Linked DNA regions of Lonchura striata. The protein of the gene in region 2 binds, or shares a complex with, the protein of the main gene of each other region. Links are inferred from orthologs where the notes say so. Each region holds a gene or a part of one and is shown on either strand. Other genes may lie near its edges. The genes, in order: TAX1BP3 and KCNJ4.

The links.
Region 1: the proteins of KCNJ4 (region 2) and TAX1BP3 are in contact, whole or in part, in a crystal structure (PDB 3GJ9), measured with the Homo sapiens proteins. The link is inferred for Lonchura striata from reciprocal best matches to the Homo sapiens genes KCNJ4 and TAX1BP3. Residues at the interface, in NP_004972.1 of Homo sapiens: Arg440, Arg441, Glu442, Ser443, Ala444, Ile445; in NP_055419.1 of Homo sapiens: Leu27, Ile28, Leu29, Gly30, Phe31, Ser32, Ile33, Gly34, Gly35, Asp38, Gln39, Gln43, Asn44, Thr58, Arg59, His90, Asp91, Arg94, Leu97, Thr98.

What each region holds. Positions count from the first base shown.
Region 1 is NC_134622.1:8,398,395-8,406,390, reverse strand, and holds the start of TAX1BP3 (tax1-binding protein 3), read right to left. Parts: upstream 3,019-7,996; 5' UTR 2,972-3,018; coding exon 2,933-2,971; intron 1,549-2,932; coding exon 1,429-1,548; intron 1,157-1,428; coding exon 1,079-1,156; intron 852-1,078; coding exon 714-851; 3' UTR 1-713. Other genes in the region: EMC6 (ER membrane protein complex subunit 6), read left to right, coding at 3,551-3,883; P2RX5 (P2X purinoceptor 5), read right to left, coding at 6,388-6,463, 6,786-6,868, 7,201-7,266, 7,753-7,846. UniProt on the Homo sapiens protein: May regulate a number of protein-protein interactions by competing for PDZ domain binding sites. Binds CTNNB1 and may thereby act as an inhibitor of the Wnt signaling pathway. Competes with LIN7A for KCNJ4 binding, and thereby promotes KCNJ4 internalization.
Region 2 is NC_134607.1:23,762,329-23,770,440, forward strand, and holds the start of KCNJ4 (inward rectifier potassium channel 4), read right to left. Parts: upstream 3,123-8,112; 5' UTR 2,620-3,122; intron 1-2,619. UniProt on the Homo sapiens protein: Inward rectifier potassium channels are characterized by a greater tendency to allow potassium to flow into the cell rather than out of it.

The DNA.
Region 1 (7,996 bases), on a different chromosome or scaffold from region 2:
CTGATGGTACAAACTGGGAGTAAGGAGAATTCAGGTTTTACCCTGCCAGTGAGGTTGAACTGTAGTGTCCATTAAATTGTAGTGTACTTCACAGGCATTGATCTAACACTTGTTTGTTACTCAGCTGTTTCTTGCCTCAAGAGGCTGCTTTGTCCAGGGAATCTTTGCAGGAAACTGTAATGCCCCAAACCTTTCAGCCACTCTCTATCTTGCACACAGTGAAGGATTAGTACAGTGCTCCTCCCCACAGCACTGTGCAGCTCTTAACTCTGGCATATGAATTTGGTAGCAATGTGGGGGACAGGACAGCTCCCTTCTAAAAGCTTAGGCACAGCAAACCCTCTGGTCTCCCATAGCAGAAACCACATTTCCTCCTAAAATAGGAGGCTTTTGTGCTACAGAAGAATCCTGTCCAAGTTAAGGCTTTTCCAGTTGCTCTTAGATAACTTGGGTCTGTCCTGTCCTGAAAGTCATGACTACAGAAGTCTTGCCATGTACCTGCAGGGCAGACTTTAGAGAAGCACTCTGCTGAGGGGAGTATTGTTTTACTACTGCCAGTTACACCAGAAGAAGTTAAAATAAAAAAGTAGTGTTTACCACAGGTAGGAACATGCACTCCTTCCAGACAACCTGTTCCAGTCTAATAGTTGCTTCTTTCTTTGATAGCAGTCTATACATCTCCCTTCCCACCCCCTCCCCAGCTGGATGATGGATTAGGACATCATGGATTGCTGCACAGCCTTCTGCAGGGACTGCCTGGTCACCAGCAGCCGTACCACCTCCTCATTCCTTTTGGTCAGCCTCTTCCTGGCCTGGTCATGGGTCACCATTGTCATATCCCAGCCATTCACCTGGGAAAAAAAAAAACATAAAATAAGGCAAATGCAAGGACTCACAGGTGTCCTGTAACTGTTCTATCAGAACCATGTAGTGGATATGGTTTTATGCCACAGCTCAGTTTATTTATAAACCCTACAAACTGTCCTGGTAAGTACCCAGAAGATTATTTTCCCCAGCAGATGCTTCTCTGCAGGGTGCAGCTGGTACTACATCACTACTGTCTTATCTTGGTGCTTACCTGCATGATCTTATCTCCAATCTGGAGTCCTGCAACTTCTGCCGGGCCTCCCTGTGTCACCCTTGTTACGTAGATACCCTGGGAAAAAATTAGTGCTCATTTACTAAATGTGGAAGGATTCAGTATTCAAGGGCCATTTGATTGACAACACAGAAAAACTCTAGTGTATTATGAGATTTTAGTTAAAAACAGGCTCATGCAATGTTGGAAAATAGAAAAGGTGTAGAAGTCACTTGAATAACTGGATCTACAAGTGATAATGGGGCAAGAGAGTAGCTGTGGTAGAGGGCAGATGATGACTTGGGTCAGCCTTTGGGAGAGGGACTTGCTACAGAAAAAGATTATCTGACCTTGTCAGTCTTATCTTCAGAGAAAGGATTCTGAGTAGGGTCCTGATCAATGCCACCCCCAATGCTGAATCCCAGAATTAAATTGTCACCTTGACGAAGCTTATGTATTTCAATTCTTTGCTGGAAAGAGAAAGAGATCAAATAGCTGAGCATTGTGACAAGTGGAAGAAATCTCAAGTGCATTTCAGACGCTGATAATTCAGATCCAGTTAGACTGTTTTTCACAGAGATCCCACGACACAGCCCAGCCCCTCAATTACTCAGAGCTGTCCTGCCTGCCCAGGAATAGAAGGGAACAACACTAAAACCAGAGCAGGTCTCTTTAAACATGACTCATGCCTTGATAACCAGCAGTTACTCATGACCAGCCTCATCTTGCTCATTATCCACATGCCTTATGTTCCTGCTAGTCCTATCAGCAGAAATAACAACCTATTATTAGGATGGCTCTTTTTCAGGATAACTTTTGTAACCCGGGGCAGGTTCCTCACTGCCTGATGCACAGAGGCATCTGACCAGCTTTGTGCATTATGTCAGCATTGTAGAAATGCCAGCTGGTGCAATTAATTCCTGAGCCAGGGTGAAAAGCCACGGTCTTAACTGACACAGCAACCTCTCGAAAAGTGCTACGACCCTATCTAATGGAAGATGTTCCTGCTCATTGCAGGGGATTGGATGAGATTACCTTCATGGGTGCCTTCCAACCCAAACCACTCTGTGATTCTCCTCTCATGGCCCTGTCACACAGACCCTGAACTTCCCCACTGAATTCCAAACTCCCTGGATTCCAAACATCGGAGCCATCCACGCAAGCACAACCCCAGTTACCGCTGCAGGCAGAGGAAAGCACAAATCCCTCACTCGCACTTCGTGCTGATTAAAGCCATTATCTCCCTTTAAAAGCTCTGCTTCCTAACCCCACCCAGACACGCAGGTGCTTATCCTGCTCTGCCCTCGCAGAGGGGGATCCGCACCGAGATTGGGCTCGGCTGCCGCGGGGTCCCGGTACCGGGAGAACGCGTGTCTCTCGCTCCCTCTTCTCTAAAGCAACGCCCGAGCATCCCCGGCCGGGGGTCGGTCCCTCCGCCCGGCGGAGTTTCCGCTCTGTTCTCCCAGCCGCTATCCCGGACGGAGAATCTGACAGCCCACGCAGCGGGGAGCGGCTGCGGGGCGGCAACCGGGGCCGGCGGCGCTGCGGACAGAGCGGCCGCGGAGCGGGGCTGCCCGGGGACCTCCACCCTCCGACTGCCGGGCACCGGCACCGTCACCCGTGTGCCGTGCCTAACCCCGCAGCCTTCGCCCGCTCCTTCCCCGCACCCGCGAACCGGAGCTGCCCCGGGGCGGCACCTCCGCCCGTGACAGCGCGCAGGGCGCTGCCGGGCACCACCCGCATCCACCTCTCCATCCCCGCCAGCAGCCGCCACCTCGGCACGGTATCCCCGGGATAATGGTGACCGGCTGGGCCGGTAGGAACGCCGTGCCCGCCCCTCCCGTGCCCACTCACCACCACGGCGGTGACCGGCTGCCCCGGTACGAACGCCATGTCCGCCCCGCCACCGCCGCCGCCCGAACAAAAGCGCCTCGCCCGGCCCCGCCTCCCGCTCCCCGCCAGCCAATCCGACCCCGCCCTTCGCTCCCCGCCAGCCAATCCGACCCCGCCCTTCGCTCCCCGCCAGCCAATCCGACCCCGCCCTTCGCTCCCCGCCAGCCAATCCGACCCCGCCCTTCGCTCCCCGCCAGCCAATCCGACCCCGCCCTTCGCTCCCCGCCAGCCAATCCGCAGCCGCCCCGCCCACGGCGCGCCGCCCGCGCGGCCGCGTCCCGTCGGCCCCCAAGGCAAGATGGCGGCCGGGCGGTGGCGGCGGCGCGGTCGGGGCGGGCCGGGCCCGGCGGGCGGCCCGCGGTGACGGGCGCTGAGCGGGGTCCCTCGGCGCGGTGCGAGGCCTGACGGAGCGGCGGGGCTGGGCGCCGCCGTGGATGAGAGGTACGGAGGAAGGGGAGGGGCGGCGGGAGGGCCCGCGGGGCTCTCCCGGCGGCCTGAGGGCGGGCGGGCTCGTACAGCGCGTTTGCTTCACCTCAGTGTCGGTGCGAGCGAGGAGCTGCCCGAGCCCGGCGCGGAGCCATGGCCGCCGTGGTGGCCAAGCGCGAGGGGCCGCAGTTCATCAGCGAGGCGGCGGTGCGGGGCAACGCGGCCATCCTGGACTATTGCCGCACCTCGGTGTCCGCCCTGTCGGGCGCCACGGCCGGCATCCTCGGCCTCACCGGCCTGCACGGCTTCATCTTCTACTTCCTGGCCTCCGTCCTCCTCTCCGTGCTGCTGGTGCTGAAAGCCGGGCGGCGGTGGAACAAGTACTTCAAGTCGCGGAGGCCGCTGTTCACGGGGGGGCTGGTGGGAGGGCTCTTCACCTACGTCCTGTTCTGGACTTTCCTGTACGGAATGGTTCACGTGTACTGAGCAGCTCCGCGGCGGACGGAGCGGCGGGACTGTTGCCAAAAGTCACTACACCATAGGCCGGCTCACTTTCCACACTGTTGTCCGTGGCTCGTGTCGTTAATGCTGTTGGTAAATTATGTCCAAGTACAAATTAATCAGTAGCACTGTTCTATTAAAACTGAATGTGAAGCACCGCTTGGATGCCTCCTTGTTTCCTTGTTAGGGGGTAATTTCTGTCCCTAAGAGCAGGCACAGCTGTGGGGTTTGATTGATATATTCCCTGGATACACACACCAGTTACAATCCCCTCTGGATGTGCTGCCTGTCCCTACACACAAACATTACAGCAGTAACACGGCAACCTGAAATAATTAAATTACTTAAAAATAATTTTGCTGACAAAAGGAAATAACTAAGTGGATGTAAAGGTTTGGCACAGAAACATACATGCAAATGCTCTCTTCCCTGACTGCCATCAGTAAATGGCACTGTCACTGGTCTCTAGAACAGCCACAATAGGGGATAATTCCATCACGCACCATCCAGGTAATGCCTTTCCTATAGCCCTGTTCTGTGAAAATAAGTGATTCATCAATGTGCTCACATCACTATCACCAGGAGAAGGTGGTGTGACCTGAAAAAACACTTACAGAACACTCCCAGGGAGCACTGGCCTGAAGTGACACATTTTATTGCTGAACAAGAAACACAAGGAGAAAAAAAAAGTCAAAGTCAAGAAACAAGTCCTGAGAAGGACTCTGGTTATGTTTTATTAACAGCAGGGCTTGTAGGAGTTGTGTTACAGAGTCTAAAGAAAGGAAACACTCTAGGGGATCTGGGGGGCCTGGAGACTTAGATTCAGGAAATAGCTTTGGTCATCTCACAGGAGGATGTTTTGGCAAGTTAAAACAATGGTTTCAGCAGAGCACAGTCAGCTCTGCACATCAGGAGGAGCTGCTTGGGTGCCAGGAGTTGTGCCAGGCCCTGATGTCACATGGGGGGGTTCTTCATGTGTTTCACCATCTAGAAATTACACAACTTCTAGATGGTGAAACACAGAGTTTTAATTAACCCTAACAGTCAAAAGCCTGGTGGTAACTCTTGTGCAGTTCCCCACATGGTGACTTGTGTTTGCCTTGAAGAGAGACTTCTGACATGGAGAGAAGGTTTTGGATGAGATCAGAGCACCAAAGGTATACAGCTTAACCTAAATGAACTCCACTGTTTAATTCTATTTTCTAGCCCCATTTTTTGCTCGCTACACAGAAGCAGAGGTGGGGACCTAGACTGGGTGGGGTTTGCTGTCAGTGGCTGGGTTCAGAGTTTGCCACTGCTAACAGGTGAACTTTAATTTAGGATGAACCTGTACCTCAGAGTAACGACTTTAAATAAGTTACAGCAGAGCTGGGTGCAGCTGCTGGTGCCATTTGTGCAGACGCTCGATGGCAGCAGCTCCCTGATGCCACCCTCAGACACTGCAGAAGGAGCCCTGTAACTTTTGGTATTCAAAGCATGCACAAAAACATTTAATCTTTATCAGGACAGCTCACAGTGGTGATGGGGCAGCATGTACAGAACACAATCATATTCCTTAAGCCCTTTTCTGAGATTATTCACCTCCCCACATGAGATAAATGGACAAAATAGGCTGCAAGGAGACTGATGCTGCTGAGAGACAAGCACTTGTATTTCCTGGAGGTCACTGGTGTTGAAGTAGCAGGCAGATATGTTCTAACTTCCCTGCTGTTGGTGTATTTGGAGGAGGTTGGCCCAGCCCATGTCCCTGGCACAGCTGCCCTTCTCAGTGTGCAGCACAGCCCAGGGTGCTGTGAGAAACAGAGGCACTGAGTGTCCATCCAGCTCTGCCACCACAGAATCAGGCAGTGACACAGCAAGGACAGTCCCGAGCAAATGAAACCAGGCACTGAAGGAAGGAGGCAGAAGCTGTGCAGGTGCTTCCAGGGCCCCCCTGCCTCAGGCCCTGCAGGATCACAGCCCCTTCCCAGCCCCAAGAGCTGCTCCAATGCCACATTTCCCTGCACTTCCTGAGCAGAGCAGTCCTGCTGCTTCACAACGGATGTCACATCACCCAGGCAGGAGCTGGAGGCAGTGGCTGCCAGGGCAGCAGAGCAGGAAACAGGTTGGGTTTCAGCTTCAGCCCTTCCCAAAGTGCTCCCATCACAGCTTTTCTCCACGTGGAAGCAAAGCACAGCCACAGGACAATGCTGGCTACTGGCATAAGTACAGATATATCTATCAGTGGATATAAAAACATTCATTTTTGTGCCTTCTTTGTCCTTTTATAAAAATCCTTTTATAAATCCATAGTGACAACACGTTGCAAGCTCAGGCTACCAGAGAAATCTCTGGGAAGAAAGACAGTCTTTAAAGAAGGTTTTGTCCTCTGGGAATCCTGATCATAGTAGGCCTGACCTGGGGTACATCCACCTCCCAGTGCTGGTGTGGTGCCACACCAGTGTGGATTTCCTGGAGCAGGAGTCCAGCTGGCAGAGCCACTGCTGTGCCTAGAGCTCGCCGAGCTGCTCTGGGCTCTGATTCCCGTTCAGCGTAGGGCTCGACAAGGACTTCCTGGAGCTGGACCTGGGCAAACAGGCACAAGGACAGGATGAGCAGCCTGGGTTTGTTTCAGGAGGCAAAAATGTTCCCAGCCAGGCCTGTCTCACCTTACCCCAAAAGCCCCTCCACATCTCAGTTTCACGAGGCCATTGCCAGTCCAACCCTGACACAGCAGCTGCCTTTCCTCCCAGCTCATTGCAGCAAGGAATTACAGAGGAAGCCAATAACTTGGCCAAAATAATTTGGAAGAATATATTTCCCTGGAACTGTGCTCCTGTATGTCCTCCTATTTCTATCAGTCTTAACAAAAAGCCATGATTTTTAACACAAAACCAGGCCCACTTACTTGACTTCCTCATACTTTTTGCCTCGATAAAAGTTACTCTTCTTGATCAAATATAGCAGCACCAGGTCACAAAAGAAAGCTCCCTGCAAAGGGAAAAAAACTTGTGGTTTATCTTTGAAAGGAAGAGGAAGTATTCTGAACTCATTAGAAATGAGCATGAATGAAAGGATAACTTGTAGAAACTGTGTTTGCCTTCATTGTCCATGCATTTTCCAGAGTATGTATATGTAATATACAGATTGTGGGGGTGTTTAGACTACTAGGTTTATTAAGAAAGAACCAGGCACTGAAGGAAGGAGGACATAGACACACACCTGGCTGAGTAGTAAAGATTCTGCTGGAGAAGGTTTAAACCCCCCATCCTATTTGGGGTGTGGGTCCCTTGGGGTTACTTTGAGATAAAACATTCACTTACAGCTCCCATGAGTGCCAGCCCCGAGCTGATATTGATAATGGTGGGAATGATGTTAAATTTCCCTGCCTGGAAGAACAAAGGTCATGAAGTCACCACTGAGAGAACAACCCACAAAACAAACTCAAGGGTGTGGTACTGCACTGGGGAAGCTGCTGCTGCCCCTGGGTGCGTTTTGTTCCCAGGCACAACCACAGGGGATTTGCAGTGGAGGCTGAAGGTCTCTGTGTCTTAGATCTGACTGTCCCTAACTGCATTTCTGAGCTTGCATCATCCCTGGATTAGGCTTTTTCTCTCTGCAGTGCTTGCACATGGAAAACAAGCCTCTGGGGCACATTTATTTCTGTTAAGGCTTTACATGAGCCTGGTTTTAAGTAGAGGAGGTGCAGGCTTAGCTGCACTACAGGTGATCTCTCTCACATGGGGATTAGCTCCACATGGATGGATGGGAAAAGCCCTTTCTACAACAAGCCAGAGAGGCTGTCCTCCTCGCAGAGCTGCCTCCCCCCACTTCCTTTCTCTGCAGGCTCTGGGACATCCTGACCTGGCTCTCACCTTGCCATTCACCATCACATCGAAGCGGATTCCGTACGCTTTAATGAGCGTCCGGTAGTCGACCCCCTCAGCATCCCGGTAATACTTGGCAAACCTGGAATACAACAGTGCTGCCTTTAATTCCACCTGCCCCTCTGAAGCCTCTCATCCCTTCAAAGAGATCTGTTCCCTCATCAAAGCCAACTTTAGCCTGCCAGGAGCACTCCCTACCTCCCTCCCTCCTCTGCAGCGCTCTGAGCTCGGC
Region 2 (8,112 bases):
ACTGCCATGGTGGCAGGGGCGTGGGCAGAGCGGCAGCAGGAGCCCCTGGCTGGCGGCGTGGGGAGGTGCCGGGCTGGAGTACCTTGTTCTCCACCCTCCAGTCTCTGATTTCCAGTGAGAGCAGCAGTGGTGCTGCTGTGCCAGCATGGCTGGTGCCAGGAGATGGTGGGCATCTCCTTCCCAGATAGACCAGTGAGTGAATGACAAAACTGTCCCTGGAGCAAGCTGCCTGCTGCCAGGCTCCCAGGAGGACAGGCGTGGAGGTGCATGAGTCTCTGGGGCCACGGGGACAGGGTCACATTGCAGACAACTCCCATCCCTCAGCAGCCCGTGCCACGACACCACCTTCACTGCTGCAGAACAAGCCTCAGAGGTCTGAGGGCGAGAACCAGCTCAAAAGCAGCTCTTGCCTGTCCCAAGCCCCTCTCTGCCAGAGAATCAGTATCTCTCCCAAGAAGGGGCTCCAATCCCAGCCATCACCATTAAAACCACCTTGTCTGGCGAGCAAAACCGGTGCCGGTGGCTCTGGGGGTTCCCTGTGAGGTCTCTCCGCCCTGGTAAGGGGCACAGGAGCAGTGACGTCAAGGAGCAGGAATTTAGCCTGACTCAGTTTCGCAGCGTTGCGAGGCAAGCGCAGACGGCTCCAGTCGGCCCGTGCCATTCACAGGAAAGCGAGCGGCAGCGGGAGGCTGGGAGCCGCGTGGATGAGTAAGAGATCGATTGCTGAGACGCCAGCATCCATCTATCGATCCCTGGCCGCAGTGCCGGGTTAAGCCAGCCCAGTGCAATAACGAGGCGGGATAGCGGGGCTTGCTGGGGGCACGGGGCCATTAACTGCTCCGCTCGGCGTCCGCACTGATGGCAGCGTGCGGCGGGCACAGGTATCCATCACCGCGCCTCCTGTCACTGACACCACCCCAGGGATGCAGCTGCTTCCCGGGCGTGGCCGGTGGCTGAGCTTGGGGTGGCCGAGAAGCTGGAGGGGCCAGTGGGGATTGGTCCTGCCAAGAAACTCCATCCCTCCCCAGCCACCTCCTGGCTTTCCTTGAAAACCATGGCGGGGGACTGCAAGGGACAAGGACCACTGCCTGCCCCCTGCCAGCACCACACATCAGGGCACTTGATCTGAGCACTTTGATCCCCAAACGGGGAGAGATGGAAGAAAAAAATGGTGGAGGAGAGGGAACCCGCTTCCCTCCAGATCAGCCCTCTCCAGCTTATCCTTTGTGTCCATCCTCACCTTTTGTCCTCTTCCCCACCACTCCCTGTCCCCAGCAGATTCATGCTTCCCACTAAAGCACAATTTGCCCTGTATTGATTACTATTTTCAGTGTCTGCAAACAGGAGTGGCCACACACTGCCAGGGTGTCTCAGGCTTCTGTGGGTGCCACTTCTGGTGGTGGATGGAGAAGGGACACATTCCCATGTCTCTGTCAAGATGTATTCCCCATGCACCTTCCTGATCCCGCCCAGGCCCCGGATAACCCCAAGCCCTGGGCTCATCTCCACACCTCCCATCTCCTGTGGATGACTCCCCCCAAGCAGCCAAGGAGGGCACAGAGCAGGGATTGAAGGTAGCCTTGGAGCTGTGTCACCTCTGCCATGAGTTTCTGTCACTCTCTGCCCTTCACAGCACACCCCCAAGGGGAGCAAGGGGAGAAGGGAGAGGCCCCAGAGATGCTGTTTGCTTTGCCATCAATGGAGTCAGGGCTGGGCTGCAGGGATAGGAAGCGCCAGGCTCTTGCCAAAAGGATTTGGATGACTCCAGGCTATTTGCCCAGGAGGGAGGGCCTTGGGGGCTGATGGGCCAGGGATGTCCGGGGTGATCTGCCAGCACCATGCAAACCTGCCTGCCCACTCCTGTCCTGGTGGGGAAGCCGACCTTCTGAACAGGGAGCAAAGGCAGAGTTTTCCTGGTAGTTTGCTCCTGGCTTCCTCCTGAGCTCCTTCACCCAAAGCCACTATCCAGAAGACCCTTTGCACCATGCCTGTCTGGGGGGTGTTGGACCACCACTGGCATGATCAGCCTTGCTGGGACTAGGAGAGGTGGACGGCAATGGAGAGGGGGACAGATCTGAAGCCCAAAAAGCTCCACAAGCAGCAGGAAAACAAACACATCCACTTCAGCCCCATTTGCACCCGAGAGCCTGAAGAGCAGGCCTCCAGCTGCCTCCTTCTGTGTGAACTGGCTGGGACCAGCACAGAGAAGAGTCTACAGAGCAGGAGAAGTAAAAGGTGAGCAAGATCCAGCCCAGGGCGAGAAGACACTAAGAAAACACGGGGAACTGAAAAAATGAAGAAGTTACCTACAAAGGGACCGAAGTTAGGGTGGCGAGAGGGCGGGGAGGGAAGTTGGGGAGGTTTAGAGGCAGGAGCCCACCCCTGCCCCTCGGCCCGTGGCCGCCCCGGTAGCTGTGCGTGCATACGCCATGCACACAAGGCAACTTTATTATTCACTGGCACGCTCACACGAAGCCACGCATCTCTCCCCAAGTTATATTTATAGCTGTTCCTCAGAGCGAACGCTAATGAAACAATACATTATTTTCCGAAGGGAGAAAAACCCTTCGCGCTCTCATGCCGGTGCGGAGAGCAGCGCGCCCCGGCACCGCCTCTTACCCGGGTCCTGCCGAGGGCTGCCGCCTGCTCCAGCCGTGCCGAGCCAACATCAGAGGAAGGGAAAAGCGCCCGGTCTTTCCATCTCACCACGAAATGTCTCAGCCGGACCGGAGGAATCAGGGGAGTCTCTCTGCAGTCCTCGCTCGCCTCCAGCCTAGGTTTATTTTTTTCCCCTCCGAAGAGCTACTTCTCCGCTGCGACCTGCTCCTCTCCTAACTCTGCCCTGCCCACGCCAGCGCTCTCCTTCTGCCTCTGCCTCTCAGAATTTTTTGCTCCCAGGAGCGTCCATCCCACGGAGTGCTGATGTGCCTTCGTGGCTCAGCGACGGGTTTAGGTCTCCCCCTCCTGCCTGGCTCCCTCCTTCTCTGGCATGATTTGCCCGTGCCCCTTGCTGCCCCCCTGCTCTAGTCCCCAGATCCCCCCTCTCCCTGACACTCTTCCTCCCTTTGCGCTCCGCTCCCTTTCCCTGGCTGCCTCTCCCCCTCGCTGATTGCTATGCAGTCTGTAGCTGAGAAGTCAGTAACTCTGTGGTAGGATCCAACAGCTTTCCGCTACTTTAGCCCATCCTCGCGTGTGAGCTCAGAGCTGCGGAGCCGCCATGGGGGAGACAGAGCGACCATCCCCAGCGGGAAGGGGATGGTGGGGCCGCCAGAGAGGTGAATCCTCCTCCTGGGCGGCTGCACAGAGATTAAATAACTACCGTCAGAGGGCTTTTTCCCACCTGGATTTGGGGTGCTGGGCTGACACCTAGCCCCGAGGAAGGACCAGGCTCTCCCAGCTGATGCTGTTTGCTGTGGGGCATTGCTTCCCCACGCTACAGAGCTGGTGATTTCCTGCCGGGAAGAGTAATGCTGGGACAGGAGCTGGACACGGAGGGACTAGACCTCAGGGCTCCAGGATAGTGCACAGCCATCCTGCTGGGAAACCTGTCCAAGAAACCTCTCTTGGGTCTCCACGGCCAGCAGCATCTCAGAGGCTTTAAAAAGGTCACTTCTTGGTGACAAGGAGAGATTTTGCAGCAAAAACAGAGGCTGAAGAGACTCCTGACTACACAGGCAGTGGCTGTAGGCACAGGATCCTGGGGACAGCCCTGTTCCAGAACAGCATTTTTGAGGACATGGTTTCTGTCTTGGTGCCTCATATGCTGTCCGCAGTGTTAAGGCCTGTGCTGAAAAGTCAAAAAATATTTAAAAACCCATTTTTTGAGTCTCCTCTGGGTCCCAATCCTGCAAGGACTATGACCCTCCCTCCCAAAACCCTCCCAAGGTGTGGCATATAGGATGACCCCTGCACAACATGCTGTGGAGCCTGCTGTGCCCTGCCAGCACCAGTGAACACTGCGGTGGTGAGCACAGCCTGTTCCCACCTGGCAAAGCCACTGCCGGGGCAGCAGAGGGTGCTGGGGTGGGTTTAGTAGCTCCATGCAGATGAGCAGCTGCAAACCAGGAGCACATCAGCCTGCTGAATGGGTCAGTTCACCCCAGTGCACCCATGGCTGCTCCCTACTGCTCCTGGGGAGCTGCTGCACCTGGATGCAGCAGAGCCAGCCCATCCACTCCCTCTGCAGCCATCCCTATGAGGACCTCATTCAGGTTCAGAGGGTACGTATTTTCCCAAAAGCTTTGTCTCTAGGACCTGTTTTGGGGCTGCTTCCCTAGAGCTACTGACCAGTATCTGCCCAGCTGCTCTTTGGCAGAGTGCACCATCCCTCTGGCACCACAGCAGGCCTTTCCTCTTCATGTGGTAAAGGGATGAAGATGGGCCTGAGACATCTTGCTCCTTCCCAGAGCGGGCAAAGCCAAGTGCAGCCCTGTGACCGCCTCAGCCTCAAGTGGGGTGTCTCCCTCTCTGCCTTTTGCTCCTTACTGCTGGCTCCCTCTGAGGCCTCACCACATTTCCCTCTGCCTTTGCAGCAGGAGGGTAGATAGCTGCACCTTGTGCATGGTGTGGCAGCCTGACACTGCCAAGAGACAAGTGGCCCTTCCAGAGGCAGCGAGAGGGGCATGGGGACGCCACATTGGAGATGTCACCGGCCCCTTGCTGTCCTTGTGCCCCCCAAGTGCCATGCCCTGACCGCCCCATGGCCGCCGGCCCCAGCAGCGGGGTGGCTCACACTCGCCGCCCCCGCCCGTCTCCACCAGCACCGTCTTTAATAAGAAGTGTGGAATATTTTAGCACCTATGTAAAAACCACCACAGACGGTGGTGGCAGCCGTTGCCAGGGAGACGCTCCCAAAAATAGCCCCACTCCGCCAACCTTTCCCAGTGCCACTGTGGGGATTGAGGGAGGCAGAGGGATGGAGGGATGGAGGGATGGAAGGGTGGAACGAGGGACGGATAAAGGGATGGAGGGATGGAGGGAAAGAGTGCCATACAGATGGACAGAGGAATCTTTGGAGGGATGAATGGAGAGAGGAGGAGTGAGGGGTGGTTGAAAAGATGGAGGGAAGAATGGATAGAGAGAGAAAGGGATGAGAGGGATGGCTGGAGATGGATGGAGAGATGGGTACAGTGGAAAGCAAGAGCTCCTGGGAAGGTGAGAAAACACTGCCTGCCTCTTCTCCTGCCTGGGCATCAAGAGACGAGCAACCTGTATGACAGCAGCCCCTACTTGGACACCCGTGGTCCTGCACTCCTGTAATACCAGCTAAGCCAGCACAAACCGTCAAGCCTTCTCTGTGTTGAGCAGGTCTGACTTTGGGTGTTTAAACCAGAGAGCAAAATTCTGGGCTCCTTAGCACCTGCCGTGTTCCGTCTGCAATCTTCCACCGACCATCCTATCTCTGTCTGTCTGTCCCCAGCATTCCAGAACTGCCCAGCCAACCTGATCTGGTCATGGGGGCAGAGATGGTGAGACACAGAGGTGACCCATGGTGCTCAACCCCACCGTGTTCCCCAGCCCCTCTGGGAATGCAGAATCATTGCCCTCTCTTAGACAAATCCTTGAGACTGCCCACTCTCCCAGAAGGTCTGGATGTAGCCTGATCTACATCCTGCAGCAGAATTGGAGGGAGACACCTGGAGAACCACCAGGGGCAAAAGCAGAGAAGCCTTTTTGATAGAAGGAAACATTTGTTTTAGTGATTAGGAAATGCCCTTTTGTCCCTCTTCTCATCCCACAGCCATCACCTCATAGGCAGAGGTGGAGAAGGGCCCTGAATTAAGCTGCTGCTCTCTGGCCCAGTGGCTCTGCAGGAGGAGCCTTCCAGACCAGCAGAGGCAGAGGGAAACCCCAAAAATAGAACTAAAGGAGGAGGGATTGGGGGGGGGGGGGAGAGAGAGAGAGAAAAATAAACCAAACAACCCCAAAATCTCATTTTTAATATCAAATCCCAGCTCACTTTCCTCCTTGTCACCCTGGCGACATTCCTTGTGGTCACCATGGAAACGGGAGGCATGGAGAGAGCATCACCATGCGGGGTGGTGGCAGCACCCGGCATTATTTTGGGAGGCAGGGAGACACCCGGCGCAAGGAACTTGGCATTGTGGCAGGGCAGGAGGAGGGAAGGTTTATTTTTACTTGGTCCCACTCCATGTGCCAGTTTTGTCTCTAAGAGCCTGGGTGTCCCTTGCACTGCAGCAGCTTTCCTATGGCCCCCATGTACCACACAGGGATGGTGTTCCATGGGGACACCCCAGCCTTACCACCCTGTTCCAGCTGGGTGGGCTTGATTGGGCTGCTCCCATGAAGTCCCTCTAATGGTCACCTCAGCTGGTGGTTCCAGGTGCCAGAGTGGGAGATAATGCTGGGAGTTGGGCCCATCAGCTCTTCTTGGGAAGGTGCAAGATGAGGAGAATAAACCTTTGCCTTTCTCTGGAGGGGACTTCTTTCCTTGGGTGGGACAAGAAGCTGCAAAGAGGAGTGCAGGGACAAGAGAAAGACAAAGGCTCTCAGACATTGCACACCAGGGGGTTGGAAGGGGATTTCTTGGAAGAAAGGACTCCAAATCTGTTCCTTCCCCCCAACTTTACATCCCTGCTCCATGGATCAAAACTCTGCCTACCTGCAAAAGGACCTGGGGTACCAGGGACCTGCAGGGCCACCAGGGCTGGGGCTTGGCTTTTACCAGCACCCACATGGCCTTGTGAAGCCCTGCTGAAATCCCAGGCAGCTCCACTCTGATGTCTGGAAACCCAATTCAGGCAGTCCTTGCCCTTTGCCAATCGTCTCTTTTGCTCTAACCCACCCTTGACCCACCGCAGCAACCCCTGCCTCAGTGCCCTGGCTGGGAACAGGCAGGGACGTCTCCAGTTCCGTGGGGCTGAGCAGGTGTTTTCCAACCCGGCCTGTGAATCCATCTGGAAAAGCCCTGTGATGCAGGTGCTGGAGCGTCAGAGAGGGAAAACACAACCGCCAACCTAATGGGCAGGGAGGAAATGTATGCAAATATATTCAGAAAGGGAGCCGGTGATGCTAATAGGCTTGTTAATCCTCTCGGAAAGCACCAGGAATAATATTTTTACACTTTGGTCGTTAAGCATTTTACTCCAAGCAAGCCCATAAGGAGAGAGAGACATGCGTAGAGGATGGCCAAAAGTCATGGCTGGGGACAGGGAGGGCAGCAGCCAGAGCCAACTTTGGGACAGGAGCAGGCAGGATCACACAATCCAAGGGTAACCAAATTAGACCCGTGGCCAGATGCGATTTGCTCAGGGCAAGGCGACAAATTACAACTTCCATTTGGTTGTACTAAAGCAGCTTTGAATTAGTGATTAGCTATTGACTACCTAATTGCTGGATCTTGATGCAGAGGTCTCTCTGCTGCTGCCATGAGATCTCCCTGTGTAACTGCTGCTCCGAGGACAAGGTTCATCCAAAACAAGCTGGTCACCCGGCTTAATATATTTTCAAATATATTAAAACTTTCTAACATTCACTACTGAGCTCTTTTCTGTGAAATCTATAAAACCAGCAGCAACCACATGCTTCTTTCACTCAACAAATTCCCTACATTTTTTGTAACCCTCTGGAATCCAGGATTTCCTTCTAAGAATCCAGGATTAATATTTTCAGTGAAGTTTGTTTCAAACCAGCCCTTGGGAGAATATTTTCTTTCTCCATGGCTGTGCTCAGGGATCCACTCTGCTCCAGATAGGGCATCTGAAGGAAGGGGTGTCTGGTAGGGCAGACACCAGGGAATGGCTGTCGCTGTGGAAGAGCTGCAATGGGTTGATAATTCAAATATCTCTCCACTTCTTCTTTGGCTGCAGGAGCCAAGGTGGAGCACTGGTGAGAAGGTGCTGCAGGTGGGATGGGGCCGGTAAGGGCAGAGAGCAGAAGGCTGGAAGCAGCACAGAGGTTACTGCACCCGTGGCGAATATTCCTGGAAAGTCTGGCCCTCGCCGGAGGGTGTGTCCTCAAGGCCAGAGGATGGGAATCCTCTTCCCTCTGCCTTTTCCCCTTTAACCACACTTCCGTGTGTAACTTGAGACAAGCAGGGAAGAAAAAATAGGAAGGGGAAAAAAAAAAAGAAAGGGAAAAATAGCGCAGTTA